Astyanax mexicanus: one gene and its partners. The protein of the gene in region 3 interacts with the protein of the main gene of each other region in a biochemical or structural test. Links are inferred from orthologs where the notes say so. Each region holds a gene or a part of one and is shown on either strand. Other genes may lie near its edges.

The links.
Region 1: the proteins of sntb1 (region 3) and gucy1a2 interact in a test that uses a peptide from one of them, tested with the Homo sapiens proteins (2 studies listed by IntAct, with this or other methods). The link is inferred for Astyanax mexicanus from reciprocal best matches to the Homo sapiens genes SNTB1 and GUCY1A2.
Region 2: the proteins of sntb1 (region 3) and asnsd1 interact in a test that uses a peptide from one of them, tested with the Homo sapiens proteins (2 studies listed by IntAct, with this or other methods). The link is inferred for Astyanax mexicanus from reciprocal best matches to the Homo sapiens genes SNTB1 and ASNSD1.

Annotation. Positions count from the first base shown.
Region 1 is NC_064425.1:12,485,556-12,496,389, reverse strand, and holds the start of gucy1a2 (guanylate cyclase soluble subunit alpha-2), read left to right. Parts: upstream 1-6,498; 5' UTR 6,499-7,022; coding exon 7,023-7,223; intron 7,224-10,834. Other genes in the region: cwf19l2 (CWF19-like protein 2), read left to right, coding at 636-848, 1,087-1,203, 1,930-2,085, 2,866-2,946, 3,052-3,153, 4,020-4,160. UniProt on the Homo sapiens protein: Has guanylyl cyclase on binding to the beta-1 subunit. Isoform 2 acts as a negative regulator of guanylyl cyclase activity as it forms non-functional heterodimers with the beta subunits.
Region 2 is NC_064418.1:43,504,522-43,515,274, forward strand, and holds asnsd1 (asparagine synthetase domain-containing protein 1), read left to right. Parts: upstream 1-5,499; 5' UTR 5,500-5,575; intron 5,576-6,159; 5' UTR 6,160-6,236; coding exon 6,237-7,667; intron 7,668-7,977; coding exon 7,978-8,159; intron 8,160-9,192; coding exon 9,193-9,439; 3' UTR 9,440-9,610; downstream 9,611-10,753. Other genes in the region: uncharacterized protein zgc:136439, read right to left, coding at 9,611-9,731, 10,035-10,093, 10,613-10,681.
Region 3 is NC_064413.1:9,206,605-9,217,106, forward strand, and holds the start of sntb1 (beta-1-syntrophin), read left to right. Parts: upstream 1-6,250; 5' UTR 6,251-6,341; coding exon 6,342-6,536; intron 6,537-10,502. UniProt on the Homo sapiens protein: Adapter protein that binds to and probably organizes the subcellular localization of a variety of membrane proteins. May link various receptors to the actin cytoskeleton and the dystrophin glycoprotein complex.

The DNA of each region.
Region 1 (10,834 bases), on a different chromosome or scaffold from region 3:
TAGCAGGGGTGGTGTATTTAATACAGTTAATAGTTAGTAGGTATGCTGTAATGAAAGTATAGTGACTATAGCGGTGGTGTATTGACAAGACAGTGACCGTATACATTGTAGGGTGTAGTGATGGGGTAATGATGTTAGGGGTGGTGTAATAACAATATAGTGACTGTAGGGGTGAAGTAGCGGGCGTATAGTGTCTAATGTAGTAATGTAGTGACATTGTGTGTGGTGTTGTGAGAGTAGTGTCTAGTGATAACAGGGGTAGTGTGTTTAATACAGTGATTGAAGGGATGGTGTAGCAAGAGTATAGTGACTGTAGTGGTGACGTAGTGACAATGACAGTGACTGTAAAGACTGTAGGGGTGGTCTAGTGATGTTAGGGGTGGGGTAATGACAATAGTATAGTGACTGTAGTGCCTCTAATGACTGTAGGTGTATCATTACAACATAATGTTGGAATAACTCTGGGGTAATATTGTGACTGGGGATGCTATGGTGACTGTAGGTGTTGTGTAGTGATTATGTAGTGATTTAAAGGGTTAAGTAGTGTAAGTCCTGTTGTGACTAGGCCTTTTTTGTCCATCCTAAAAATGCACCATTATAGCAAGTCAGTGTATTCTCTCTCTCTCTCTGTGCAGATGATGGGGAAGCAGGATGGTGACAACTACACACTGGACGACATGTTTGTGTCAAGTGCTGCTCAGAAGGAGCGGGCAGGGCTGGATGAAGATCGTCAGCGCAGCAGGGCGAAGGAGGAGGCGCGCAGACTTGCTGGACGTCTGGAGAAATGCCCCTACTGCTTCACCAGCCCGGAGCTGCCTAAACACCTCATCATCGCTATAGGATCGAAGGTACACACTTCGAGAGCCTTCATTGATTGGATATAGTATATTAAATTAGTGTCCAGCCCAGAGTTTTAATCACATTCCCAACACTGAGAGGAGTACGTGTCTAAGTGTCTGCTCTGTCATCAGGAGATCGTACAGTAGGTCCAATCCCAAATGATGCCACAGCCATCCTTCAGTGACATGGAGTCCCAGAGAGCATACATACACATACACTTTTCTTTTTCTCCTTCTGTGTGTTTAGGTGTATCTGAGTATGCCGAACTGTGTGTCTCTGACAGAGGGTCACTGTGTGATCGCCCCACTGCAGCACCACTGCTGCTCTACTGGGCTGGACGAGGATGTGTGGAGCGAAATGCAGGTACATATATATATATATATATATATATATATATATATATATATATATATATATATATATATATATATATATATACACACACACTCCATCATAATAATATTTGTAGTAAAAGTCTCTGTTATTTGGAAGGGATAGATCATATAGGACAGGAAACCTGAAATGGCATTTATTATTATCCTTTACGCTTCACATAACAAATAAATATAAATGACAATATAAATCCAGCAATCACATGGGGTCTGCGTACGTACAAAAACATTGCGTAGGCCACATTTCATCTCACCCTCAGATGCACTAAATGTGATTTGAATGTGAGTGTTCATTTCAGTTTCATTTCATACATGCGTTTTTAGTGTGTTTTAGTAACACTTAAGGGCGATGCATTGAAATTGCAAACAAGAAATGATTGTTTTGTGCATACAGAAGTTTTCAGATCTGAGGCCCCTGCCCTTTTCTGATTGGATGGACTTATTGTGTTGGACGTGTTCATTTGCATATAGTTCTCTCGATTTAACATTAGCTCGGCTGTGTTTGAAGAAACTGATTTTTCCCAATGAAAATGAATGGGATTTATTGCGGAGCAGTATAAATGCAACCTAATCCAGCACTGTATCTTCACTCAGAGCTCACGTCTCCATACACTGACTGTATAACAGGACTTCTCCAGCTTCCCTCAGTGGCTGTGTCTGCTGTTTACCTGTTGTTTGTGGTGTTATTGTGTTGCAGGTGTTCCGCCGGGCACTAGTGCGAGTGTTCGAGGCTCAGGATCTGGACTGTGTGTTTTTAGAGACGCACATGAATCCAAAAAGGCGCCTGCACCTGCTGTACGAGTGTGTTCCACTGCCACGAGAACTGGGAGACATGGCACCTGTTTATTTTAAGGTCTGTTTCTTTGAGCCTTTTTTGACTAGCACCTGGGTGTGCTTTCTCCGCTGGTTTGTTATGTTGGGTCTGTGAAAGCTGCTTTTAAACCTGCAACTGTGGTTAATTTTGTAATATGATGCTTGAACTTAGAGTGTTGCTTCCTTTTTCATCTGTAGATATAATAATATCTAATGCCTAATAAACCCACACTGTGACAGGACTGGAGCGAGGGTATTGTAATAACCTCAGCTTTGTAGAGTGAGTGCGGATACTGACAATAGTCAGTCCTGCTGGAAAATGAAATCCGCATCTCTATAAAAGTTGTCAGCAGAGGGAAGCATTAGGTGCTGTAAGATTTTCAGGGAAAACACTGCACTGACTTTGAATTTGATATAACACAGTGGACCAACACCAGCAGATGGCATGTCTCTCCAAACCGTCACTGATCATCAGTAAATTTTGGATGTCATTTGGAAATCAAGGGAGCAGAGTCTGGAGGAAGAGTGGAGAAGCACACAGTACAAACTGCTTGAGGTCTAGTGTGAAGTTTTTATAATCAGTGATGGTTTGGAGAGACATATCCAATACAAATCCTACGATCCTATACATAGAAAGTGACTTTGTGGAATTGTGCTATTGGGAAAAGTTTCGGGAAAGTTCTTACATGTGAAAGCAAGGCAGCGATAATGAGCCCAGTCTTGGATGTGGATTAATTTATTCTTATTTACACACATCAGTACTACAAATAAGCATAAATGTGTTTAATATTATTGTGTATATATATGTGTTTGTTTACAGAAAGCTCTATTGGAAGCTGATGAGGAGTGGGCGATGAATAAGAAAGTGGTGGACTTGTCCTCCAAAAACATCAGACAGTCTGTGAGAGCTCTTTCTTTTTCTATAATTTTTTCTACCTTTTCTTTAGTTCTATCTGGTTTTTTTTTCTCGTCTGACAGTCTCTTCTCTCTCTCTCTCTCTGTGCAGGTTCCTCGTGGTTTGCCATATTTCTCAGTAGATTTTGGTCTGCAGGGAGGATTCGCCCACGTCATTGAGAATGAGCAGAAGTTTCCTCACTACTTTGGGAAGGTCTGTCTCACGCATGCACGCACAAACCATTATATACATACAAGGACTGCACAATATATAGTTTAAGCATAGTCACTGCAATGGGCACATTGTGCAATGTCATCTAGAGTACCAGTCAAAAGTTTGGACACCTTCTCATTCAGTGTTTTTCTGTATTTATTTATTTTATAAATTGTAGATTAATATTAGAAAGGGACACATATAGAATTACATAGTAAACAGTAAAAGTGTTTATCATCCACAATCCCCTGATCTAACCCTTATCAACTGAGATGTTGATTTGAGGTGATTGGGGATTAGCTGGAGCTTCACAGCATGAAGGAAAAGCAGCAACTATTGTTCAGCATCTCAGAAACTCCTTCAAGACGCTGAGAAAACTATTCCAGGTGACTCTCCCTCATGAAGACACTGAGATTAAAAAAACTGGAGTGTGCAGATCTGTCTTCAAAGATAAATGTGCTACTTAGAAAAATCAAATGTATAAAACAAATCCTGGTTTAACACTTTTTTTGTTTACAGAGCTTTAATATAGTCTTCCATATTAAATTTACAATGTAAAAAATTATAAAAAAACATTGAAGGAGAAGAGCTGTGCCCAAACTATTGCAATAAATGCAAAAATTTGGTCAATAAATGATGCACCTTGCAACAACCTTCTGTTGATGCAAAATGAAATTCCCACTGTTCCAATATTTTGCAGTGATCCGAACAATATAGTTTGTGTCTGATCAATAGAATGCATAATTAAAGAAAGATCTGGTGTATATATTGAAAAATAACAAAATTATTATTATTTTATTTTTTATTTTTTACATACATTAAATCCCTACATACACAGTATGTCTGACTGCTGCGTTATCCTGCAGGAGATTCTGGGTGGAATGTTGGACCTGGAGCCTCGGCGCTGGAGAAAACCAATCCGAGAGAACTTTGATGATCAGAGGAAGAAGGTCCTGGAGTTCTCTCAGTGGTGGAAACCATTTGACTGCACCAAGACTGACAACTAGATGCTTCCCACCAACTGTGCTTGGTTCAGTTAAAGTTAAATCACACCATTACTCTCGAGTTATATTGTTTTACAGAGATCCTCCTGTTGCCATGTGCTGATGTAATGTGATAAAATGATTTTATAATTAAAGTGTTCTTATAGCTCCTAAATTATTGTTCTTTTGCATCTTCATTTTAAACACCTCACAGTGTTATTGTTGTTATGCAGGGTCACTGTTTAAATCAAATATATATATATTTATTGCTTTTAACAACTGATGATATCGCAAAGCAGCTTTACAGAAATGTAAATGTAGGACAGAGAATCAGACAAAACATTAAACATACAATACAGAACCTCCAGTGAGCAACAGAGGCAAGGAAAAACTCAATCAGAGCTGGAGGAGGAACCAAGACTCACATGTACCTTGTATAGTAACACACACTATTAAGGCTAATATACTAATGCATCTAAAAATAGAATATCATTGAAAAATTACTTAATTTCATTAATTCAGTTCAAAATGTGAAACCTATATATTGTATAGATTTGACTTTACTTGATTTTGCCAATGAAAACCCAAAGTGTCTCAGAAAATTTTAATAATATATAAGACCAATTCGTACTTTTGGCATAGTGGGCAGCGTGCCAAGTCCTGCTGGAAAGTGAAATCTCTATAGAAGTTGTCAGCAGAGGGAAGCATGAAGTGCTGTAAGATTTTTCAGGAAAACAGTGCACTGACTTTGGACTTGATATAACACAGTGGAGCAACACCAGCAGATGACCTGTCTCTCTAAACCATCACTAATTGTGGAAACTTCCCACTAGACCTCAAGCAGTTTGGACTGTGTGTCTCTCCACTCTTCCTCCAGACTCTGGTCCCTTGATTTCCAAACAAAATGCTGCATTTACTGATGGTTGATGATTGGTTTGGGTGATGAGTCAGGGTGATTGTAAAGGTCAGAGTAAACAGGTGGTGGAGTATCATTAATTAGCATGTGCACACACAGACATCATGATGTATGGATTTATTGACTGTGCTGTTCCTTAAGCCGCACACACACAGCCAAGTATTATGAAGGTGATTGATTCATGATATCAGCATCCTTTGTAAGATACAATTCTGCCTGACACACACACATACATGCACACGCTCACTCATACCACACCTACGAATGCACAAAGGTGGTGTCATGGCTCACTGGCCAGTTTATTGGAAATACCTACCTTGTCTCTAGCTGTGCATGTAAAGCAATAAGAGAAAGGTTTCTGAAAAAGTAGCCAGTGAGTGTTTATCTGCACAGACAGAGTAGTCTGTTCATATGGTTGTGTGTGTGTGTGTGTGTGTGTGTGTACAGTGAGGCTGGGAGAAAGTGGGTCAGCATCAGGAGCAGAGAGATGCAAGGGGAGGAGGGGAGGTGATGAAGAAAAAAATGACCTAAAGGCAACACACACACACACACACCCTACACACTGCTAACATGACCTGACTATCAACTCTGACTATCCCCATGTTTTTCCTCTATTTTCAGCATATACAGTCTCGGTGCAGGGTTTTTGTCAAATGCTGTCAAAGCATTAATAATAGCCTATATATAGCCTTCCTCTTTTATTACAGAGAAGTGCATCCCTGCCCTTTGTCATACAACAGTTTAGCTCCACCCATTCAGCCTACAGCTGTTTAGCCCCACCTATTTAGTCTACAGCAGTTTAGCTCCACCCATTCAGCCTACAGCAATTTTGCTCCACCCATTCAGCCTGCAGCAGTTTAGCCCCACCCATTCAGCCTACTGCAGTTTAGCTCCACCCATTCAGCCTACAACAGTTTAGCCCCACCCATTCAGCCTGCAGCAGTTTAGCTCCACCCATTCAGCCTGCAGCAGTTTAGCCCCACCCATTCAGCCTACAGCAGTTTAGCTCCACCCATTCAGCCTACAGCAATTTCGCTCCACCCATTCAGCCTATAGCAGTTTAGCTCCACCCATTCAGCCTACAGCAATTTCGCTCCACCCATTCAGCCTACAGCAGTTTAGCTCCACCCATTCAGCCTACAGCAGTTTAGCTCCACTTATTCAGCCTACAGCAGTTTAGCTCCACCCATTCAACCTACAGCAGTTTAGCTCCACCCATTCAACCTACAGCAGTTTAGCTCCACCCATTCAACCTACAGCAGTTTAGCTCCACCCATTCAGCTTACTGCAGTTTAGCTCCACTCATTCAGCCTACAGCAGTTTAGCTCCACCCATTCATCCTACAGCAGTTTAGCTTCATCCATTCAGCCTGAGAAACGTCTCACACTGACTGACCTTCTTTCTCTCACTTTGACTTTCAGTCTCTCTCTCAGTCTTTACACGAACTTTATCTCTATATCTATATCTATTCCTCCCTTTCTTTCAGTCTTTCTCTATTCCTCTTAAGGTCTCCCTCTGTATCTCTCTCTATTTCGTTCTCTCTTTTTCTCAGTCTCAGTCTCTCTCTGAGTCTCCCTCTGTATATCTCTCTCTCCTTTTCTTTCTTTCTCTTTGTTTGTCTCTCTCTCAGACTCAGTCTCTTTATTTTCTGTCTGTCTCCCTCTGTATCTATAGCTCTCTCCATTTCTCTCTCTCCATTTCTCTCTCTCTCTCTCTCTCTCTTTCTTTAGGAGTGGGAGGGGTCAGTATCTCGCGCTGCTGCTGATGCTGCTGTAGGGAACCTCGCGCCGCTTTTCTCTCTCTCTCTGATCCTCGTGCGTGCGTGTGGATGAAAGCCCGCGCGCGCGTCCGTGATGCGGGACCGGCCAGTGCGCGAGCCACGACATAACACAACGACGGACCGCGCGCGCAAGACCCCGGAGCCGCCGCGTGCGTTGCGTTGCGTGAGATGAGCGCGTGACCCCCGCAGCATGTCCACGCGGAAGGTCTCGTCCGAGTCGTTTAGCTCCGCGAGCTCGGAGTGCGTGGAGAGCCCTGAGCGCGCGGACTGGCCGGACTGCCCGCTCGCGCTCTGGAACGGACGCAGCCCTGTGCGCGCGGCGCCCCGGCGCAGGAGGCGCGTGAACCTGGACTCACTGGGGGAGAGTCTGAGGAGACTGACATCACCCACGGTAACGCACGAGCGAGTCTGTCAGTGTGCGTGTGTGTGCTTGTGTGGAAATGTGTGTTTGTGTGTGGAAATGTGTGCGTGTCATTGTGTTTGTGTGTGGAAATGTGTGTATGTGTCAGTGTGTTTGTGTGTGGAAATGTGTGTGTCTTTGTCTGTGTGTGGAATGTGTGTGTGTGTGTGTGTATGTGAAAATGTGCGCATGTGTGTCAGTGTGTTCGAACCTTTGTGTGCGTGCTAGAGTCTGGGCGTGTGTGTTTAAACCTATGTCTGTGTGTGTCTGTGAGTGTGTGTGTATGGCATCTCCGTGCTCCCTGTGTAGTGTACACTACATGTCATACAAGTCCACAGTCTGCAGCTTTCAAGTGTGCAGATGAAGTCGGGTTGTGTCCCAATCCTCCTGTCTCGCCTCCTCTACACTCCGCTGTCTTAGAGGAAGACTGGATTCAGCTCTGCAGTGGAGCACTCTGTCTGACATTCGAAGTGTGAATGTTTATGTTGTAGAATGAGTGTGTTCATGAGAGACAAACAGTACAGGAGATAAGTGTGTGTGTGTTTGTGAGTTTTATGCACTGTGTATATATGCTAGGTATGTGTGTGTGTGGGGGGGGTGTAGAGTAGTGTGACAAGTGTAGAAGGGTTTAGAGTAGTGTACGAAGTGTAGGGGACTGTAGAGCATTGTGAGGAGTTTAGAGTAGTGTAAGGAGTGTAGGGGAGTGTAGAGTATTGTAATGAGTGTAGACAAGTGTAGAGTAGTATAAGGAGTGTAGGGGAGAAGTGTAGAAGAGTTTAGAGTAATGTAAGGAATGTAGGGGAATATAGAGTATTGTGAGGAGTGTAGAGTAGTGTGCAAAGTGTAAAAGAGTTTAAAGTAATGTAAGGATAGGGGAGTACTGTGAGGAGTGTAGAGTAGTGTGAGAAGTGTAGAAGAGTTTATAGTAATGTAAGGAATATAGGAGAGTTTAGAGTAGTTCAGATGAGTGAAGAAGAGTGTAGAGTAGGGTGAGGAGTGCACAGTAGGGGGAAGAGTGTAAAGGAGTGCACATTAATGTGAGGTGTGGAAAAAGTTTAAAGCAGTGTACAGAAGTGTAGATTAGTGTGAGGAGTGTAGAGGGGAGTGTACAGTAGAGTAGATGAGTGTTGATTAGTGTTGAGGAGTGTAAGGAGTTTTCAATAGTGTAAATGAGTGTCATTTAGTGTGGAGGAGTGTGAGGAGTTTTCAATAGTGTAAATTAGTGTGAAGGAGTGTGAGGACTTTTCAGTAGTTTAAATAAGTGGTGATTAGTGTTGAGGACTGTGAGGAGTATTCGGTAGTGTAGAATTACCGGTAGTGTTGATTTGTGTCGAGGAGTGTAGAAAGTGTAGCTGAGAATAAAGAGTATTAGTGAAAAGAGTACAGAAGAGTGAATTCTGAAAAGCAGATGAGTGTACAGTAGTGTGGGTAGTTTAAACGATTGTAAAAACTAGATGAGTATATAGATAAATATGAAATGTAGTGTTAGAAATGTAGAGAAGAGTGAATTCTGAAAAGCAGTTGTGTGTGCAGTAGTGTAGAGGAGTTTATAGAAATATCACTAGTGAGGATTGTGAGCACTATATATATGACTAGTGAGGATTGTGAAGAGTGCAGTGTAGTGAGAAGTGTATAGTAGTGTGAAGAGTGCAGTGTAGTGAGAAGTGTATAGTAGTGTGAGGAGTGTAGTGTAGTCAAAAGTGTATAGTAGTGCGAGGAGTGCAGTATAGTGAGAAGTGTATAGTAGTGTGAGGAGTGTAGTGTAGTCAGAAGTGTATAGTAGTGTGAGGAGTGAAATGTAGTGAGAAGTGTATAGTAGTGTGAGGAGTGTAGTGTAGTCAGAAGTGTATAGTAGTGCGAGGAGTGCAGTATAGTGAGAAGTGTATAGTAGTGTGAGGAGTGTAGTGTAGTCAGAAGTGTATAGTAGTGTGAGGAGTGAAATGTAGTGAGAAGTGTATAGTAGTGTGAGGAGTGCAGTATAGTGAGAAGTGTATAGTAGTGTGAGGAGTGAAATGTAGTGAGAAGTGTATACTAGTGTGAGGAGTGCAGTATAGTGAGAAGTGTATAGGAGTGTGAGTGAAGTGTAGGGAAGATGAGTACTGTTACCCCTGGCCAATTAAACAAATCGTGTACATAACCGTAGAGATGAGCGTATTAGAGTGGAATTGAAGCAGCTTTATAAGGCTAAATGTGTTATATGAGGGTTCCATAGTAAAGGTGATGGATACTCTTATAATTGTTCTATGAGGGTTCTTTAGTTAAGGTGGTGGTTCTGAACTTTTAATAGTGTTCTTTAGTGTATGAGTGTGTTATGTTAGTGTATTTGCTGCAGACTGGTGTGGTGGTCTGTGGAGGAATATGGGCTGATTTATACATCACCTGCATGCATTGCTGTGTGTTTGTGTGTGTGTGTGTGTGTGTGTGTGTGTGTGTGTGTGTGTGAGAGAGAGAGAATGTGTATGTGTATGTGTGAGTGTGTGTGTGTGTGTGTGTGTCTGTGTGTGAATGTGGATGTGGATCTCTCTCTCTTCTGACCTCTACCATCTCACTAGATGCTCTCTAACCAACCATGAAACACACTGCAGCCTGGCCCGCCGGCCACACACACACACACACACACACACACAGTTTTATATAATTTTTATGAGTCAGCGCCTCTGTCTGTGTCCGTCTGTCTGTTTGTGAGCTTATCTCTGCTTATCCTTCAAAACACACTGCCTGCATGTTAAATCTGCACCATGTGTTCCTGTGTATGTGTGCCTGTGCCTGTGCCTGTGTGTGTGTGTGCCTGTGTGTGTGTGAGTGAGAAAGAGAGGAAGACTAAGAATGTTTCTGCATTAAATCAGAGTTTGACCTTTCCATGCACTCAGTGTTTATGTGTGTTCTGGTTTTTGAGCGTGTGTACGTGCATATGTCAGTGTGTGTGTGCATGAGTGCAAAGAGACATGTAGAACTGCTCCTACATGCTGTAAAAGTCAAGTCCTCCCATTTTCTGTACTAATCTGACTCATTTGATTCATTGAGCGTTTCCAACAAATCAGCGCTGGAATTTCCAAAAGCATCTTAGCACACAATAATTCTTCAAGGGGCGAGCAAGCATCACACTGAACACTCTCTCTACCAGTTACGATGATGGCAACACCAACATACTTCTACAGAAAAATTGTTTTGCTTAAATCTTAGAGAAAAGGCATTAGACAAAAATGAGACACAAGATACTTCTGAGGTTACAGGAGTTAAAACACAAGAGAGTTTGATTTTAAATGCATTTAAGAAACGGGAAGATGTATTTGTGGCAGACCAAACCCAGGTGTCAAACCCTTAACATGGTCATCAATGGTCCAGTGCTCTAATTACTGAGCCACTGCTTTCCAGAAGCTAGCGTAGTTATTCAGAAATTAACAACTAAAGTGTTGTAACCCTAATTTAACACATTCAATTTAATCAACACAAACAACTGTCTAATCAGTTTTTACATTTTATTCTTTAATATTTTATTTCTTGAGCAGATATAATTTTGCTAAGAAAAAAAACATATTGCAGAAATAGGACCTAAAATGTTAATACTTCACATACTAAAACATAAATGAATAACTCAATTT
Region 2 (10,753 bases), on a different chromosome or scaffold from region 3:
ATGTATTGTGGTACCATCTGGAATGGCAACACCCACAACTAATTTCATTGGTTACTGCTAATGAATTTCCTTATTACTTGCCTTATTTTTTAGACAGTGCAATCTTGATTAGTAAAGATCACACTTTTCTCATTGGCTTGTGGCACTATCTATTTGCATAGTGGCTGTGTGTTTCTTCCCTATTGCTCACCATCAGAGTTTTGTCATTCCCTCCAGGTTATCATCCCCTATTGTTTTATTATAATCTATATATAAGAGCAAGTTACCATGTACTGTGACATTAGGTTGGCTGAATGCTACAGTAACCAAGTATGCACTAATGCAGATTTGTGCCATGAGGCGTTATAGAGGTGGCAATAGATAATATAGCTAATATGTTAGTTATTAATGTTTTTGTCACAGAAGGGTATTTTGTGTACCTAGAATCATTTTGAATTTAATTATGTGGAACCACTGTCTATCAATAAATTCAATTTGTTGAAATATATATTTTCTAATGGCAGTAACTCGTGCAATGAGGGATGCTTCCCTGTTTCTTTTCTGCTTTTGTGTATTATTGGGGACCTTGTTTTTTGGTCACTTCTCCAAAAGTAACTGGTTCGGTCCTGAAAGGTAGGCCCCACTGATTGTATTATATGCTGAGTAATGCACCCTAGTTATGCTGCCTAAGCAAGGCCTTAGAGAAGCAATGACTTTCAGATATTATCACGTGAAATATTCGAAAATATCGAAAGCACAAGTAAGATGATATAGATATGCTAAGTGTCTAAAAGATTGTGGAAACCTGATCATTCGTTATTATCATTTCTATCTATTTGTGTCTCATTAAATCAGTCATACACACACTACTGTCCAACTTCTATCTGTGGAAATGTTTTCAGGGTGTTCGGAAGAAAAAAATATGAAAAAAATGATGAAAATTAAAAACAAAGATCCAAAGGAATCAATAGCGAACTGGTTTTAGCAAACATTTTGAAAATAGTATACAATTATTGGAAGTTTTACCTGGAATGCAGTCAGCCCAGTTCCAAAATCAGATTTGTGAAGTAGAGTGGAGTCAGCTAAAATGAGACACTTTTTGGTAAAAGATTTATAACACCATCAAAAAGGTCTGTATTTGATATAAGGGGGAAAACTTTATTTGTTTTGCAATTATAGGAGTTAGAGTATCAGTAGGTTTCCTGTTGAGCTATGACACAATGTTCAGATTAGTTGGGCCAGCTGTTTAGTTTAGTGAAATTTGGTATGCCAGAGAGAGAACAATTGGCCATACTCTCTCTGGGAGGGTAGATGGTGCTCTCTCCCCACATTACTCCTATTGTGATACTGGCACAGGCTTCAGTTGGCTGATGTATTAGACCTGGAGATCCGACACTTTCCTCTGAACATGCTGACTGACTCGTCAGTCAAGTGAATCAGTGTGTTTATTGAAAAACCTAGGACTAGCTCACAAATTAGATTTTGCATATTATGCTTATTTGCAAAAAATAGGCAGTCATTTATGACTCTATTGGCATTTTTAGTTTGTGATGACTGAATGAAAAAGAAAAAAATTACTATTCAATAAAAATGTTTGATTATGGGATCTTGTACTTGCTACTAATTGACCAAGTTTCATGTCTCTAGGCCTTACAGTTTGGTCTGTGCGTTCCATTTAAAGGCAGAAAGGAAATAAGCATAATAAAAAAACCCTAAAAAATCATTCTGTGCTCAAGCCCCTAATAAGTGAAGTATCTAATGAATTGGATTGCAATTTTATAGCAATATACCAAAAACAGTCCAACACAAATCATCAACCTCTAGATATCACAGGAATCCTCTACTACTAGAAATCATTACCGCCTCCTAATTTGAACACCGGCCCTCATGTGTCCACACATGTAGGCCTCAACACTCACTGGCCTGGTGAGTTGAATTATAAGGTATTATTTTGTGGTTGATGGTTTAGTCCCATTACCCTTTCCTAAACCACTAAACAAAAAGAAATGACCCTGTGAGTATAGCTCATTGTGTGTGGTGGTCATGATCATTTGTTGTTCGCCTTTACATGCAATGACACCTTACGCTGTGGTTTTAGATGAAAAGGAGCGGATTATCTGGTCGGGTTCTGCTACTGGGGGACTAAAAATACGCTGAGGGTCACCTCTGAAATCTGAAAAATAAAAACAAATTACTCAGACACAGTGACTGTGCTGTTTGTTGCTCTCCAATGGCATTGTACCTCAGTGATTTGGCTCCTGGTGTGCTTCTTGGTCACGTGACCTTATGGATCATATGTCATTTGTTCTAGTTTTATGTGATCTGCTTGCCTGGGCTTGCAGCAGTCTGCAAATTCTTACATCTAGAGTTTAAGAACATGCTAAACATCTGTGTGTTTGATGCTTATTTTGAGTTTATTTCTATGTAAAATCGCTAAACACGGTCTCCTTTGCTTTTGCATCTGTTTGCTTGGCACTACCATGTGTTTACTCCTCCAGGTATATCATGTTTCTTCCAGAAGAGATTAGGCCTCCTAATCTGAGCAAAGTAAACTCTTGAATATGGACGAGATCCAAGCGAAAAGAGACATTACACAGGTGCGCAGAAATCAATACAGGTCAATACAGAAATCTGCAGAGTTCATGTGCTGCTGTGGCAGTGACTGAGACAGAGGCCAAACAAACCCGTGTGTTTGTGACACTGGAAGCCGCAGCACACGAGCAAACACAGGTCATGTGGTCAACCACTAAGCCTGTTAAGAGTGACCAAGCTCAACGGGGCTATAGTGCCGAGTGGAGCGGACCACACAGACAAACACAGTGAATCAGTAAATGCTTGTTTGAGTTATTATGAATGTAGAATCTGGAATTTCACAAAATACAGGACTGAAGGAACTCTGAACCATTACAAACACATTCACTCACACACTCACACACTGGAGTCCACACAGTATAGGCAAACAAATCAAAGGAGCTTCTGTATTCAAATCACCAGTTTATAAGGAGAGGGCTGTTTCTGTTGAGTCTCTTTAAGTGGTGTATGTGCGAGTACAGTAGACTACAATACAAAGGCCTACTGAGGTCTCTGAGGAGCTGCTGGGTGAAGTCCATTATCTGCACCAAGGGAATTTACTTGTCCAAAAAGATTACAGTACATACTATATATCATTTATAAAATACTGCTACTGATTTTTATATGTAGGAGAATTAAAGAGGTTGTTACACAGAAGATCAGTATTTCCAGTTCCCATCCAGCCCCTAGTTTATCTAATCAAAGCTTCATTAAAGTACAAATCGGGTGAGCTGCTGCTGCTGGAGCAACTGAATAAACCCATAAAGTGCATAGAGTTCCCGAAAAAAAAAGAGTTTTTTTTTACAGCGTTCTCAGTTCTATGCAAGTCAAAGACCACTGTTTTACATACAGCCATTACATACAATACCAATTAAAAGTTTGGACATACCTTCTTATTCAATATTATTTTACAATTCGTATACATAATTTTTTTATATAATACATTTTAAATAAATAAAAAATACAGAGCATATCAAAACTATGGAAGAACTATGGTGAATTTATGTATTAAACACTTAAAAAGTGTTTGTCCACCACATTAATCCCCTAATATAAACCTGATCAACTTGGGCTGGACCTTCACAGTGTGAAGGAAAAGCAGCAACTATTGTACAGCACCTCCAGGAACTCCTTCAAGACGCTGAGGAAACTATTCCAGGTGACTCTCCCTCATGAAGACACTGAAGATCACTGCAGATCTGTCCTCAGAGATACATGTGGTACTTAGAAGAAACTAAAGTATAAAACATATTCTGGCTTGTTTAAAACGTTTTGTTTACTAAATAATTCAGCATGTGTTCCTGTATAGCTTTAATCTAGTCTCTATAATTAAATTTACAATGTAAAAAAAATCATAAGAAAACATACTGAATGAGAAGATGTGCGTCCAAAAATGATAACTGGAGCTGTATATTAAATAAATAAGAGCATTTGGTGCATTTAAACTTAACTGAAATTGGGTGGATTAACACAACTGGGAAGTATGCTAAAAGTCTTGAGTATGAGAAAATGTAGTTTCGGGGTGAAAGGTGAGTTATGGAGATGTTTATAGTCTCTCTCTCTCTGAGTGCTGCTGTTATCTAACCCTCCCATCTGTCTGTCTCTCACTGCAGTACCGCCGCCGGCCTCCAGGCGCCGCTGTACACACCGCGCGCGCCGCCTGCACAGATCATGTAAACACGTGCACGTCAGCACTCCGCGCCGGGTCTGAGAGCGGGGAGCATGCGGCTAAGCGCTAATGCTGCTGTTTATTAAACATTTAATGAACGTTTCTGCTTAAAATGTCCATCAGGAGCAGCGAGCAGCCCGAGGACCCAGCACAGGAGGAGCGCCCGACCAGAGAGGAGCTCAACACCAAGGTGGGGTAACCAGACCACGGTGCTTCAGATCATTCAGCCTAGCTAACTAAATAGTGTCGTTCCAGAGTTTGTAGCCTGGCATAGCTTAGCTAACTAACTAACTAATCAACAAGTGTCCAGAGTGTGTAGCCTAGCCTAGCCTAGCTTAGCTTAGCTTAGCTTAGCTTAGCTAATTAACTAACTAACTAACTAACTAACTAACTAACTAACTAACTAACCAATCACTGTCCAGAGTGTGTAGCCTAGCCTAGCTAACTAACTAACCAGTGTCCAGAGTGTGTAGTCTAGCTTAGCTAACTAAGTATCTAAATAGTGTCCAGAAGGTGTAGCTTAGCCTAGCTAGCGTTAGCTAACTAACTAACTAACTTGTGTCCAGAGTGTGTAGTCTAGGCAAATGACATAACTAAATATCCCTTTATAAAGTTTCAGGGTTTATTTATCACTTGCTCAACAAGTCAACTCAATGATAACTTTTACGTAGATGATAAATTACCCCAGAAATAGTTATAGTAAACCTTAATATTGAAATTTTAAATAATTATCATTTATTAGCATATTAACTAATACATTTATATGGAGGTGTGAGAAACAAAATGCCCACGACTTATAAAAGTGTGGGAATGAGAACCTAATGCGTGGGAACGGGATAAGGCATGGGCATTTTTTTAATACATGATGTCACCTTAGGGGCTCCATACATTTACATAAAAAAAATTAATGAAACCTCTGTTTTTAAACAAATTCACTATTCTGGCTATTCTGGACTAGTGCAGTTAGATCATTTTTTAGAGTACTGAACTTTTAATTCCTACGAATGTTCAGACATTTAAATTGAAATACAATGTTTATAAAAAAAAAAATCACCAGTATATCGGCGTATGTTTTGAACTTCTGATTTCACTTTGCAGATTAAGGAGCAGAAGGTTTTAGTTGATGAGCTGTCGAATCTGAAGAAAAACAGGGTAAGAAAACCTGCATAAGTGGAATACATTATATGTACTGCAACTGTAACATGTAATGTAATGTTGGCTTCTTTTAAGCACCAAGTAAACATATGTTCTCTGGAACAACATTTTTTTTTTTTTTACAGAAAGTCTACCTTCAGCAGCCCAACAGCAACATATTCTTCCTGTCTGACAAAGGAGAGACCTTGAGCTCCTGTAAAAGTAAGATTTTCATCCTTTTACAGCTGTATGTAGAGATAGCATCACATTTTCATTTGAAATACCAAAACATACATCAAAACTCTGTGTATACACAAAAAAAAGTGTATACATACTTGTATACACCGAAAACCGCATTTACACACAGTGTTATATAGGGCTGAGAATCGCAGAGCATCTCACAATACAATTTTATCACGATATGTTGCTCGTGATAAAAATGATGTCATGATATTGTGATTCTTTGTTACTTGATGTATCACAATACAATCCTCTACGCTGATTAGCGCCACCTCATAGAGGAATGAAGCACTAACTTTAGTAAATTAAATTGGCGGGCGAGTCTTAAGGTGTTTAAATCGTCTGAGTTTCAATAAAATAAAAATAAATAAAATTTGATCCTATGTATACGATACAATACAATACAATACGTTGACATTGATGCATTGTCCCACCCCTAGTGTAATATATGTGTGTACTTACACTAATGTTGCATACATAAATGAAGTAGTAACAGTTGATTGCAGTACAGTATATAGCACACAGAATGGAACATAATGCCAAGTTTCATTTTTCCTTTTCCACAGAAGAACTGGACAAAATGAAGAAGGATTATCAAGATATGTAAACCTTTAAAAAAAAAAAGAGCTGTATTCCAGCCAGAATGTGTGGGATCTGCTGTGTGGTGAACCTGAGTGCGTCCTCTCAATGTGTACTTCAGAAACATGTGCGTGAAAAGCTCCAAAACAGAGGACCCCACTCTAGCCGTGATATTACAGAAACAGCTTCACGATACAGCTGCCTTTTTTCTAGCCATGTGCTTCATATGAGGGGAGTGTTGACTCCCCAGCCTCTACAAGATGATGATGGTAATACTCTCCTCTGGAACGGTGAGGTGTTTGGTGGGTTACCAGTGGGAGCTGAGGAAAACGACACTAAAGTTGTTATACAGCATCTGTCTCTTTGTAAAAACCCTTCAGACTTATTATCTGTCCTCTCTCAAGTTAAGGGACCCTGGTCCTTTATTTATTACAGTAAAGTTAATCAATGTATCTGGTTTGGAAGGGATTTCTTTGGGAGGAGGAGCCTGCTGTGGAGCTGTGGGTCTGAGGAGGGCTCATTTACACTGACCTCAGTGTCTTCTCGCTTGCCAGATTCTGATTCGTCCAAGTGGCTTGAAGTACCAGCAGTTGGTGTTTACAGGTTGGACTTGAAAAGCTGTTCACAGGGTGGGAAGTTGAAACTTGAGCTCTATCCATGGGTTTATCTTGGAGATGAGCCTTCAAATGACTTCAGCTCTGAAGGTCTTCCCAGTTCTGTCTCATTGGTTATGAATAATGCTGGACTCCAGCTCAATTTTCCTGTTAATCCAATGAATACATCCATACAAGCAGTTGATTCTAATGATGAACCTAATCACACATTTTCTCTGACATCCTCTGATGACCTAAAAGAGTTTCTTCTAAAAAGCACAAAAAAACAAGAACTTGTGAGGAGCCTTATAGATGTCCTTAGTGAGGCCGTCCGCAGAAGAGTCCAGTCACTGCCCTATACTGATAATGTTAGTCCAACTGAAACACCAAAGTCAGATGAAGCACAAGTTGCTATACTCTTCTCTGGTGGAATCGATTCGATGATTCTGGCTGTTCTCGCTGATCGCCACATCCCTCCTGACAAACCAATCGACCTTCTCAATGTTGCTTTTAAGCTTCAGGAGCGTAAAATGAATCAGGGATCCAAAAAGAAACAACACAAGAACAAGAACAACGGCGAGCATGTCAATGTCAGTGTGAATGACATCACATCATCAGATCAGCGCACCTCAAACTGCTTCGACGTTCCAGACAGAATCACGGGTCGAGCTGGTCTACAAGAGCTTAAAAAGATCAGTCCTTCACGAAAATGGAACTTTGTTGAGATTAACGTCACTCAGGAGGAGCTGAAGGAAATGCGGGAGAAGCGTATCTGCCACTTGGTGCATCCTTTAGACACTGTCCTGGATGACAGCATTGGATGTGCTGTGTGGTTTGCAGCTAGAGGAACTGGAATCGTATCAGAGGGAGCAGAAGAGAAGGATCACACTTCAAATGCAAAGGTAGCTGCTGTTAATTTTTCCATAACATGTTAAAAGTAAAACCCTGTTGATGTCGCACAAAAACCTTGTATTGTCAGAATGACAACTGTACAAAAAACAAATCCTAATTTTCACATAAAAAATAAGTGAAAAAAAAAAGTCTTATTGGAGCATGTTTATTAGTTATTTAAATGTGAATTTGTGACACAAAAAGGAACAGTTCGGATTAGGGATGCATGCAGGCTTGAAAAACATTAGCAAGACATTGCAATAATTATTTTTCTGCTATGTGTATTGCAATTTTAAAAATACAAGAATTTTCATATGGCAGGTGGTTCTGACTGGAATTGGAGCAGATGAGCAGTTGGCTGGCTATTCCAGACACAGAGTACGGTTTAAGAACTCAGGTCTTGAAGGCCTGGTCAAAGAGCTGGCCATGGAGCTGGGCAGGATATCTTCCAGGAATCTCGGGCGTGATGACCGCATCATTGGAGATCATGGAAAAGAGGCCAGGTAAATCTGACAGCAGTGATTTTGTTTTTAAATTATGGTTTTAAATTATTATTCTTTACAATACCCTGCATATTTCCCATAAAATATATTATAGACCAAAATATTTTTGCAAAACAGTCCAATAAAAGATCTCTGGCACGAGTTATAGTATATGTAACCATGTCGTGCAATAATTTAGTGTGATGTAATTTCCGAAGCAATAAACATCTGGTTCAGATCACACTGGTTCAGACTGCACTGTGGACAAGTTTCACTTGGCAAGTTTCACAGCAAACCACTCTTAATGCCTTCACTTGTATTCTAACCATTTTGTGAAAAATGTGTGGAATTCCTCTTAAAAAAAGAGGTATTACACACATATATATATGTGTAATATGTGTGTGATTATCATACACAGTAATATCATTATAATTTTGGAACAAAACATAAATCAGTAACATGATATTTTGTCTTGAAAGTGGTCTGTGTGCATTTGTTTTGAAGCTTAAATGCTATTTTTGTTTAACTGTTTGTTTGCATAAATATGTTGCATGTTTTCACACTATAAGGCTCAGTAAATAAAATTATGTATTAATTCTACCAGTCAGGTATTAAGGAGCAGTAAAGCCATTCCGCTAAAGTACAGCATTATAAAGGAGTTTCAGTGAAATTTCTCCAGCTCCAAGGCTGGAGCATTATTAGCATTAGCTGCTAAATGAAACATGGCGACACCCCTGTTCCTTACTAGTGTCGCTTAATGCTCCTCATAATCCTGTGCACCTTTCGTATAAAAATATCAAAGTGTGATAGTGTGCTTTATAATCCGGTGTGCATTATGTACTAAATATAATACAAAGTGTTGGGGTCGATTTTTTTTTTTTTACATTACATAATCTTTCACCTTTTTGTTTTGTCTTATTGCCAAGAATATTCTTTTTGCAGAAATATCCTTATCTCCCACCCCAAACTCAAAATAATCTGAAGTGTAGAACATAATCATTAATATTTCTGTGCTTCTGAAATGTCATAAGCGTGTATTTTGTGTGTCTCTCAGATTTCCGTATCTGGATGAGGACGTGGTGAGCTTCCTGAACAGTCTGCCGGTGTGGGAGAAGGCAGATCTGTCTCTGCCCCGGGGAATCGGGGAGAAGCTGCTGCTGAGACTGGCCGCTGTAGAGCTAGGGCTGGGCCCCTCTGCTGTTCTGCCCAAGAGAGCCATGCAGTTCGGCTCCAGAATCGCCAAGTTGGAGAACAACCATGAAAAGGCATCAGATAAATGCAACAGACTGGTCACCAGTTAGCGCAGGCTTTCAAAAATCATGTTTATTACACAAAAACTCAATCTGTACATGTTTATAAAAAAATATTTTCCCCCTAAAGCTGCTTGTCATCAGTGAATTTGGGTTCCATTGTTCTCCATTCAGTTCTTCATTTACAGGAAGTTTTTAATCTGTTTCTGATTGTAATGAAATCTATAATAAATAAATGTCTGGATTTTTAAGTTGTTCCTTGAAGTATTTGTCACATTCTATGTAAGATGGAAGATTTCCCACGTCAAAACGTCCAGATATCCTGTAGACGTGCACAGGCCTCCTGAAAAACAAATACAGGTGGATTAATGCCAGGATGTGACTACTACTACAAAAAGTATATTAAAGTTTTATTTAGAACTTTTTTCATTTGGTATATAGTTTCATACCTTTATTAGAAACAAAAATGTATTAACTTAAGCAAACTCGGGATCTTGATAAGTGTAACAAAATATGTACCGAAAATAAAGTGCAACATATTTATAATAAATAACCTACTCTAACATGAACCATATTCATAGAAACTAATGTGATTAAGCACCTCATATTGGATATGTTGGTAGGTTCAAGAAACGTTAAAATATACCTTGGTATAAGCCATGACAGAAAGGTTCCTGGTGCGTCCCTTTCTTCAATTGGCCCAGCCTGTGAGAAAAGAGTTGATTTGTTTGCAGCAAAGTAATTAAGTAAACAGCATTCAAGCAAAGATCTTCCACTGAATCAGCTTAAAAGGAACGAGCACTAGAACAAGAACTTCAATCTTCCAGGAACTGAAATGTTTTTTTTGCCCTTGAAATATGCAGCACAAGGCTTTTAGTTTATTGCAAGGTATCTGCAGATGCTTAAAAAGTTTGATTAACTAAAATAAAAAGGATGTGATTTCTTAAAATGTTTTAAATGCAATTTTATTAATATTTAATTTCCAAATTTTATAAACAAGTTATAACCTTTAATCTATGTTTATTTGAAATTTTGATATTGTTACATTCACGTTTTACGTCTACAAGTGGAATTACAAAGTCTTTTAAATCTTACTTTTAATTTACACTTATCTGCAGATGCCCTGTATTAGCAAAGTAACTGTCAGTAGTTGTAGTTAGCACAGGCTTTATATAATGCTGTTTGAGTAAAGGGCGGTTATAACAAATGCTAAGACTCCATTACCTCTTTCTCCTTCAGGAACGTGTCCAGCAGTGGAAGTGTTGATTTTGAAAACAAGTAGAAACAAGGACACTGAAGAAACGGACACAACTGAATTAGCACATCTAAACTATTAATTTCGCCATGCACTATCAAAGATAAGTG
Region 3 (10,502 bases):
AACAACAAGGAAAAGAAGAAGAAGACTGATCTGGGTCCATCGTGTTCTAAAGCCATACAAGTGTGACCAATATTGGACAGGGTTTTTTTTTAATCAATAGTTTATGACCTGAGGAGGATGGGTCTCCCCTGTGAGTCTGGTTCCTCCCAAGGTTTCTTCCTCCAGATTTGAGGGAGTTTTTCCTTGCCACTGTCGCCTTTGGCTTGCTCACAGGGGGTTTTATAAATAAAGTATTGAATAGACCAGCCTGGGCACAGTCTTGATAGCTGGGAAAAGCCTGACAGCTAATAAAAGAAGAAGAAGAAGAAGAAGATCAAGAAGAAGAACAAGAAATAGAAAAAGGACTAAGAAGAAGAACAATAAAAAGCTAATATAATATAAAAGCTAATATAAGAAGAACAAGAATAAGATCAAGAAGAAGAACAAGAAGAAGAAGAAGAAGACTGATTCGGGCCTGTCGTTTTCTGAAGCCACACAAGCATGACCAAGACTAGACAGGGGTTGAGACTGTAGACAGCAAACTAATGTGATTAATGTGATTTTATTTTTTCATCAATAGTTTATGACCTGAGGAGGATGGGTCCCCCCTGTGAGTCTGGTTCCTCCCAAGGTTTCTTCCTCCAGATTTGAGGGAGTTTTTCCTTGCCACTGTCGCCTTTGGCCTCGCTCACAGGGGGATTTATGAATAAAGTATTAAGGAGACCAGCCTGGGCACAGTCTTGATAGCTGGAGAAAGCCTGACAGCTAATATAAGAAGAACAAGAAGAAGATCAAGAAGAAGAAGAAGAAATAGAAAAAGAGGACTAAGAAGAAGAACAAGAAAGAGCTAATATAATATAAAAGCTAATATAACAAGAAGAAGATCAAGAAGAAAAACAAGAAGAACAAGAAGAAGACTGATTCGGGCCCGTCGTTTTCTAAAGCCACACAAGCATGACCAAGACTAGACAGGGGTTTGCACTGTAGACAGCAAACTAATGTGATTAAATGTGATTTTTTTCATCAATAGTTTATGACCTGAGGAGGATGGGTCCCCCCTGTGAGTCTGGTTCCTCCCAAGGTTTCTTCCTCCAGCTTTGAGGGAGTTTTTCCTTGCCACTGTCGCCTTTGGCTTGCTCACAGGGGGTTTTATAAATAAAGTATTCAGAAGACCAGCCTGGGCACAGTCTTGATAGCTGGGAAAAGCCTGACAGCTAATATAAGAAGAACAAGAACAAGAAGAAATAGAAAAAGATGACTAAGAAGAAGAACAAGAAAAAGCTAATATAATATAAAAGCTAATATAAGAAGAACAAGAAGAAGATCAAGAAGAAGAACAAGAAGAAGAACAAGAAGAAGAACAAGAAAGAACAAGATCAAGAACAAGAAGAAGAACAAGAAAAAGAAGAAGAATGAGACGAAAAAGAAGACTGATTCGGGCCCGTCGTTTTCTGAAGCTACGCAAGCATGACCAAGACTAGACAGGGGTTGAGACTGTAGACAGCAAACTAATGTGATTAAATGTGATTTTTTTTTTCATGAATAGTTTATGACCTGAGGAGGATGGGTCCCCCCTGTGAGTCTGGTTCCTCCCAAGGTTTCTTCCTCCAGATTTGAGGGAGTTTTTCCTTGCCACTGTCGCCTTTGGCTTGCTCACAGGGGGTTTTATAAATAAAGTATTAAGAAGACCAGTCTGGGCACAGTCTTGATAGCTGGAGAAAGCCTGACAGCTAATATAAGAAGAACAAAAAGAAGAACACGAAAAAGAGGACTAAGAAGAAGAACAAGAAGAACAAGAAGAATATCAAGAAGAAGAAATAGACAAAGAGGACTAAGAAGAAGAACAAGAAGAAAAAGAAGAAGAAGAAGACTAATTTGGGCCCGTAATTTTCTGAAGCTACGCAAGCATGACCAAGACTGAACAGGGGTTCAGACTGTAGACAGCAAACTAATGTGATTAAATGTGTTTTTTTTCATCAACAGTTTACGACCTGAGGAGGATGGGTCCCCCCTGTGAGTCTGGTTCCTCCCAAGGTTTCTTCCTCCAGCTTTGAGGGAGATTTTCCTTGCCACTGCCGCCTTTGGCTTGCTCACAGGGGGTTTTATAAATAAAGTATTAAGGAGACCAGCCTGGGCACAGTCTTGATAGCTGGGGAAAGCCTGATAGCTAATATAAGCAATTGATTCTACTGCCCTGAGAGAAGTTTGATAGCGACCACTGGTCATCAGAACTCCAGAACTTCTCTAAAATCTTTTTGACCTCTCTGTTTATTTAAAAATTAATAATAAAAGTGTTTATCAAACAGTATGTAAGTGAATGAGAGTCGTTTTTGTTCCTCATCTTATCAGTAGAATAATGCTGTACATCAATACAAATACTAGACTTTTACTTTTTCAGCATAAACAATGGCGTGCTAATTTTAGAATATGGAAAACACATCTTGGTGTAGTAGTAACTTATTAAACTTTTTTTTAACTCAATATAAACTCAATATAAAAATATCAGTATTGCAAAAAAGTGTTTTTGTGTGCATTATTACAACTAATACAGCAATTAACCCTAAAAAGCCCACATCATTTCTAAAAACAACACATCCCAACAGTTAAGCATTGGAGGGAAGATCATTGATGCTTCAGGCTCCTGGGCTCATGTTTATAAAGCAAAATTAATGGACAGACCTCAAAAACTCATCACTTGCAAGATGGGCCATGAATCAACAAGCTGTTTGCAAAGGACCCCAACCACCCACCACAAACATGAATTGACTAAATAAATGAGTGCTGATCACAGTTTTTTGCTTTTTATATACATCAGACAATTCAAATTTATTCATTTTTTCTGGAAAATAAAATATGTATATCCCTATAACGCCAAACGTATCATATTTGATACATGATTTTTTTGAGCCCTCCAATGAGCAGTGTTACAATTGTTTCCCTAAAAAACTCAATCGATACTATGAGGTACATGCAGTGCACTGATAATTCAGGGGGCATCAGTCATGATAAATAAACAGGACTGAGCTCTTCCAATCACCTTTTCCTTTTGGCAACCACTTATTTAATATATTTTAGTGCCTTCATGAATTAATAAATATATTTCTAAATAAAGTAAAGTTGTTCATGTAAAAAAAGAATAGTTGATTGTTGGTTATTTGTTGGAGTATAGGGGGTATCGCCTTCCCTTGTAACGATGGGAGCAGACGGGAGGCGGACGTAAATGCGGGTAAGACAGACTTTAATAAATAACAAACAAACAAACAAGGTGAAAACGAGAACATATATAAACATAAACAAACAGGAAAAACAAACAAAGAGCTAAGCTGAACAGATAATAAACTAAACAGAGCTAGGGATATAAACAAGGGATAAATACGTAAATATATACAGGTATAAACAAGGAAACAGACAGGAAGTAAACGTGACAGGAAATAAACGTCACAAACAACAAACTAGAAATAAACAAGAGAGTGTAAATACAAATAACCAAGGAACGAGGAATAAGCAAAAACGTGGCGAGACAGACAACATGGGAAGGTGCAAAGACCAACAGCAAACATAGACTAAAAGGGACTATTTATACTAACATGAAACAATGAACACCTGGGGGAAAGGGCGGAGCTACAAATTACAGACACGTGACGGAAAATTACAGGGGAAACACACTGGGAAACGCAGGAACACAGGGAAACAGAGCGAGGGCGTGACTTCCCTGGCATTTTGCTGATATATACAAGACACTGCGGATTGAGGAACAATAAATACCTCCATACCTTTAGAAATAGTAGTTGTTCCATCCATCTGGCACCTACTATCAGAGCTCATTCAAACTTATAATATGATAATTCACATCACCTTGCTCTGAGCACACTGGCCATCTCACACACAAGGTACTACCTCACCCTATACAAGTGTGTGCATTACCAAGACATAATGAAAAATTAATATAATATTATTCCATGATATAATCCATCTTTTTTGCATTTGATAAAGTGCTTGATATTTTTATAAAGGCTCCAGTTTAAAAGAATTGAAATTGTATGTCAATTATTTAATGGTTTGGGCTTTACAGGGATATATATGCTATTTACAAACTCATACAGACAAACGTAATCTAAAGCAATCAATGTCTTCCATTTGAGGTGTCATGTGAAACAGTTCATATTATAATAAATGACCATACAATGTGATCTCACTTAATAGGAGATAGAATTATGGCGAGAGAGAGCGGGGTGTTTGCAAGGGGGGAACATGCAACTAGTCAAATGGCTTGTTGTCTTCACATGAAACGTGAAATCACACCCTTTAACTCAATTTAATCGGTGTAAAAAATAGCATTCATCAGACAAATTGCTTGCCCTAAATAAAAAAAATGCTCAAATGCAGCTAAAATGTCTGTAGCATTCAGTTATAGATTGTTTTGTGGGTTCAGAAACATTCCAAACACTGCTCTCTATCTGCACACCTGTATAAACTACCTCTGCAGAAGTGTTCACATACCCTTCTCATTTAAACGAATAAAATACAAACAAGAAATACATATTTAATACAAATAAAGTTTAATGCAAGTTGAATCAGCCAACCTAAAATTGATATGTACAAAAATATCTATTCTGACTCTGGAGATCAGTCGAGTAAAATGAGTGAGCACCTCCACCAGTGGACATATTACAATATTACAACTGTATACAAATTATGAATATGAATGTAAAATTAAAAGAAATGAAAAAAAAATAATAATAATACATTTACTTACTGCTCTGCACCATATAGAGAGTGACAGTTTAGAGCAGTCCTGCAGTAGCTCTCTAAAGCTTACCTGTAGATATAAAGAAAACAAGTCAATTCTAAAGGTTATTTTTGGCTAGTTCTTAAGCTATATATTTTTTTTCTAATTATTTACACATGCTTCCTCTGATACACGTGAAGTCAGCCACCACTTCTAAGGTTGACTTACTTTAAAGTTTTTTTATTTTACAGTTGTAGACACACAGTCAGCCTCCAGGTGTCGCCAAAGCCTAAAATATACATCTAAAAGGTCTGTAGCCTGCAGTTATAGATTGTTTTGGGGGTTCAGAAACATGACAAACACTGCTCTCTATCTGCACACCTGTAAAACGACTTCTGCAGAAGTGTTCACATACCCTTCTCATTCAGATGGCAGCCAGATAGATAAAATGTAGGTGACCAGTAGCTTAAAATCACATAATTAGATAAATACAATCAAATAATGCAGACGAAGAATATAGATAGATATACAAAAGGTATAAAATCTTTGGTAGAACAGAGCAAAAGTGCAAGTTGTATACAGCATAAAGTGTCTAGGTGCCTATATACATGAATCTATAAATGGAAGTGAGGGATATTTCTGATCTGGTAGTGGAAGGTAGTTTGTTTCTCCATTGGGGAATTCTGTATGAGAACAGTCTGGATTGCTTTGTGTGAATGTTTGGTAAAGTGAGACGACGTTCATTGGAGGAGCGCAGCGGCCGGGAGGTAGCGTAAGCCTTTAGTAGTGACTGCAGGTAGTAAGGAGCTGTTCTGTCATCACCTTCACCTTCCTGGTTTTCGTACAAATGTATCCCATAGGAACGAATGGTAATATGTTCATTATGTTCACATTCGTGTGTGTTTTTCAGCTATATTGTCCAAATGCTTGATGACACCATCAAGCAATACCTAAACAGTGACCTCGCAACAACATAGCAAAACCATAGCATCCACCATGGAAAGTTCTGCATGATTAAAACATCTTTTTTATAATCAAAGTGTGATTATCACCCATACCTTTATATCAAATAAAATAAAAAATAATATTAAAATACGTATGACTAAGTCACACGCCATTTTTTTAAATAGTGGGAAAATCTCTTCATCAGGTCAAGCTCAGGCAGACTACAATTTTTTTTATTATTATTATTTTTTATTATTGTTTTTTTTTTTGCAAACAAACAAAAACAAATGTGGGATTTAAATAAAATGTAAAAGATTACAGATATCAATTGGGTTTATGACATTTTTCTTATTATTTTTATATTCTTTATTTTTTTATTTTTTATATATTTGAAAATCGTATAATTGCATAGGTCCGAATAAACAAATGTTCGGAATGAGGGTATTTACCTACAATCTAGCTTGTATCCAATAAGAGTGGGAGAATGACGAGAGGCGTGGCTCTGGGTGTGGAGAGAAAAACTTTTGTCCAATCAGAGTGTAGGAAGGCGGGGCCGGTGTGAGGGCGGGAGGGGAGTCAGCGCGCGCTGGAGGCTGGAGGTGAGTCAGAGCTCGGGGGAAAGTTTGAGAGAGGGTGAGCGCGAGCTGAGCGCGGCTGGATTATTCGCGCGCGCGGAGATGACTGCGGGATGGCGGTAGCGGCCGCGGGTCCCGCGCAGCGCGCGCACAGGAGCGGGTTCGTGGAGGTGCTCGTGCGCGAGCAGTGGCACCGCGTGTTCGCGAGTTTGGGCGACGAGGCGCTGACCCTGAGCTGTGAGGAGAACGGGCACGCGCACGAGCATGTAAACGGCGAGGCGGATGCGGGGGCGCGCGGCGCGTTCACGGTAAGGTCGGTGTGCGTGTGCGTGCGTGTGCGTGTGTGTGTGTATGAACGGGAACGCGTATTCCTGACGTTAACTACTCTGTTGAGTATTGTAAGTATGTGCACGCACGGAGGGCTGAGCAGGAGTATTAGTACTGCCGAGTAAAGTGGAGTAAAGTTTTTTATTCCGTGAACATTTAATTAAACTCAGACAGGTAAACTCTGGGTGGATTGGTGGATTAAAGGGCGCAGGTAAAAAAAAAAAAAAATACATGTTTTGGTCCAGAGCCTCCCCATGCTGACTGAAGTGGGGTGCCCAAACTTTTGACCAAGATATGGTTTATTCCAAAGCTTTTTCATGCACAAACTGTACTGAAAAGGTGTGGAAACTATTAATGTTACCGTTCATTACTCTGTAGGTAGAAGTATAGATACTAGAGTTTTAATAACTTCTGTAGGAGTAAAGTATCAACTTAAGCTTTTTACCCAAGTAAGAGTACTGTTTTCAAAACTACTTAAAGTATAAAAGTAAAAGTAATGTAGGGTGAAGAAATACCATTAAGGAAAAAGCCACAGGGTCCTATAGTGCACATTTTCTAGGGGTGTGAGGAGACACTAATATCACGAGACGAGACGGGACACGATATTGGGTTCACGAGAACAAGACGAGATTTAAAAATGAAATTTTAAAGAAAATGTCAAAAATGAAAAATGGCTTGAAAACGTTTATTTGACAAAATTATATAACGCAAACTTAACAGACTCTCACACACTGATTCTATAAGAAATATAAATAAGAATAAAAAATAAAAAGAAAACTTTTCTAGGTCTTATATAGTGCAAACAATAAGTGCAAACCACAACCAGTCATATTAAGCCTATGGTTTGTGTTTTTTCTCCTAAATCTCTTGTAATTTAACTATGCATAACCACAACCAGCCATATTAAGACTATGCTTGAAGTGCAAACAGATATACAGTACAGAGCTAAGGGATTAGTACAGCTGCCTATGAAACAGTCACGTGTAGGATTTACTTACAGTATTTATATATGGTTTGTGTCTTGTTTATTGTTTCCACTGGAGCCGAAATGCAGCCAGATATACAACTTAAAAGTAGCAGCAGCATCTTCTATACAAACGCCCAAATTTTCCTCTTCTGCTAAGAGCTGCTCTCGCTGCTCAGCCATCATACTCTATTGCTATCGCTACTGAGTTGCCAGATCCCTCTTAAAAAGTCCACACTTAACTGTTTTTTTGCCCCGCGAGACAGTTTTAAGCCTGACGAGAAATCTCGTCCGTTTTAATCTTGCGAGATCTCATGCCACCCCTAACATTTTCTAAAGGCCATAATGACTATAATGTTATATTAAAATATTAAAGTTGATAGATTTGGGTAGTAGATTTGCAGTAGACTCCCTGTTTTAGTTGCATATATGCTCATTGAAAATGAATGTATTTGATACAATGCAAATATATTAAAGAAGCCTGGTTAGATGTTTGGCTTGTGTTCTGTTGAGTCTCTGCACGGATCATCTTTACACTAGACTACATGTGTCTGCTGTGTTCTTGCTGGAGTGTGACGTGATAGATTGCGAATAAACCAATAAGTTGTTGGAATGGTATGTTTTTATGCTTTTTTCATTCAACCATATTCAAATTCACTTTATCCAGATGGGACTTTTATCCCATTTTCTCCCCAATTTACAAGGCCAATTACTCAACCCACTCAGTAGGATTCCCCCTATTACTAGAGATGCTCCAACACACCAGGAGGGTGAAGACTAGCACATACCCCCTCCGATACATGTGAGGTCAGCTACCGCCTCTTTTCAAACTCCTGCTGATGTAGCATTGTCGAGTAGCATCACAGCGAGCTCGGAGATAAGTGCAGCGACATGGTTGCTATACATTACAGCTCTCAGACGCCTTGTGCTGACCTTTTGGAGTTATGTGGGGGGAGAGCCCCCTAGAGAGCAAGGCCAATTGTGCTCTCTCAGGGCTCCAGCAGCTGATGGCAAGCTACATAAACGGGATACGAACCAGCAAATCCCGATCATAGTGGCAGCTCCTTTGTCTGCTGCACCACTCAGAGCCCCTGGATGGAGAGATTGATCTGGATAGGTTTTTTTTTTTTTTACAGTGAGAAAGCGGGATGAAAACAAGCTGAAATGAAATAGGAGTATCATGTCTATTTTAAAACATGAAAAATAATAATTACTCCAGTAAAGTATAGATAACCCAAATTTCTTTTTAAGTAAGGTAACAAATATTTGTACTTTATAATTTGAAACCTCTGTCTGTTCTAGAGTGTTTGCTGACATGAGGTACCCAAACTTTTGCCACGAAGCTGGTTGGTCCAATATTTCCGCCATGTAAAATGGAAAATACTGGAGAGCTCGCTGACTTGTGCCTTGAATGCTGATTTATTTGAAACTCCTCCATATACATGCTGTACACAAGAGCAGTGAACAGAAAGAGTGCTGCACGTGTTCTGCAAATCTATCAGACGATTTTATAAAAAACAACATCCAAGATTTAAAACTGTGTGATGAATTTTATGATTCCGCCAAATTAGATTTTTGTACCTTAATATATTTGGCAGCTACAGATGTTTAAAATTTGGGTCCAAAATTTCTGAACGCACTTAGTGGACTGCTCTGTGTTGCCAACACCTAAACTATGTGTACTGGCGAAACACTAATTTAAGTTAACACACTTTTTACATCAATATAATATTTTTTTGACATGGAAAATACTGCTTACATATGCTGTGCATATACTGCACACATGGTAATGTTTACATTGGAACAATTACATTTAGGCCTGTCACGATAACAATATTTTCAGGACGATATATTGTCCCAGAAATTATTGCGATAAACGATAATATTGTCTTTTTAAGGCACCACTATAGAATTTTTTTTCCTGCTTCTGGGCTCCCAAAGGTGCTTAAAGACAATGTGCCACACTAATAAAATACTAGCATAATACTATTACACCATTTTACAGTTAAACTAACTTTATATTATTTAGAGCAGACATTAGGCTCCCAATATAAAAATATTTTAATATTGTAAATAACTAAAACAAATAAAGTACAACCACCTGTACAACCACCCTGGCTTCTGAAAAACTGCACTAAATATTAAACAGACCCTTATTCAAAAAATAAAGTAACAACAAATAGATTAAAGTAACATTTACATTAATTATTTTTTATAAAACTCTGAACACATGGGCCCTTTTTCTGATTATATATGTTTAATATGCTGTAAAACACACATTAGCTTAGTCCATATGATCGAAGACAAACAGATATCTCAGCAGACCAGAGCTCTTGCTATAAATGTATTTTTTAATGTAACTGTCAGACAAATTCTGAGCAAAAAACACCAGCATGTTTAGCGTGTGGGGCTTGAGGCAGGATCTCTCTGGAGAAACAATTTTTATATTCAGTATTCAGCTGGATTAATTGGGCTGGATGGTTGTGTTTTAAATAAGATCTCCGGTATTACCAGCTTTTGTTTCCATTGCTGTGAAACCTTGTAAACATACCAGCTGAATCGCGCTGATGGTTCTCCTCGCTCATTTGGCTTAAAGCCAAAATACTCCCAAAATACTCCCGCACTGGAGCCACGGAATACGGCTTTAAAACTTCCTCAAAGGTTCTCTAAAGCTGTTTAGTTTTGAGAAAGTCCAATTACCGTACGATAAGTCGATAACATAGTTATCACAACAGGCCTAATTACATTACAACCAACATAAACATGAAGAAAGGGCAAATTGTGTAATAAGTGTAAAATCAAATATACTTCAGCTAACTACTGTTTACTATTAGTAAGATGTTTTTCTAATTTTGTCATTTATAAAGAATCCAACCTGTAAATTAGCACATACCTTCCTCTTCCTCTCTCTCTCTCTCTCTCTCTCTCTCCTTTCTTTTCTGGTTTCATGATGGCTGAAGTTTCATATTTTGCCAGCTGCGGG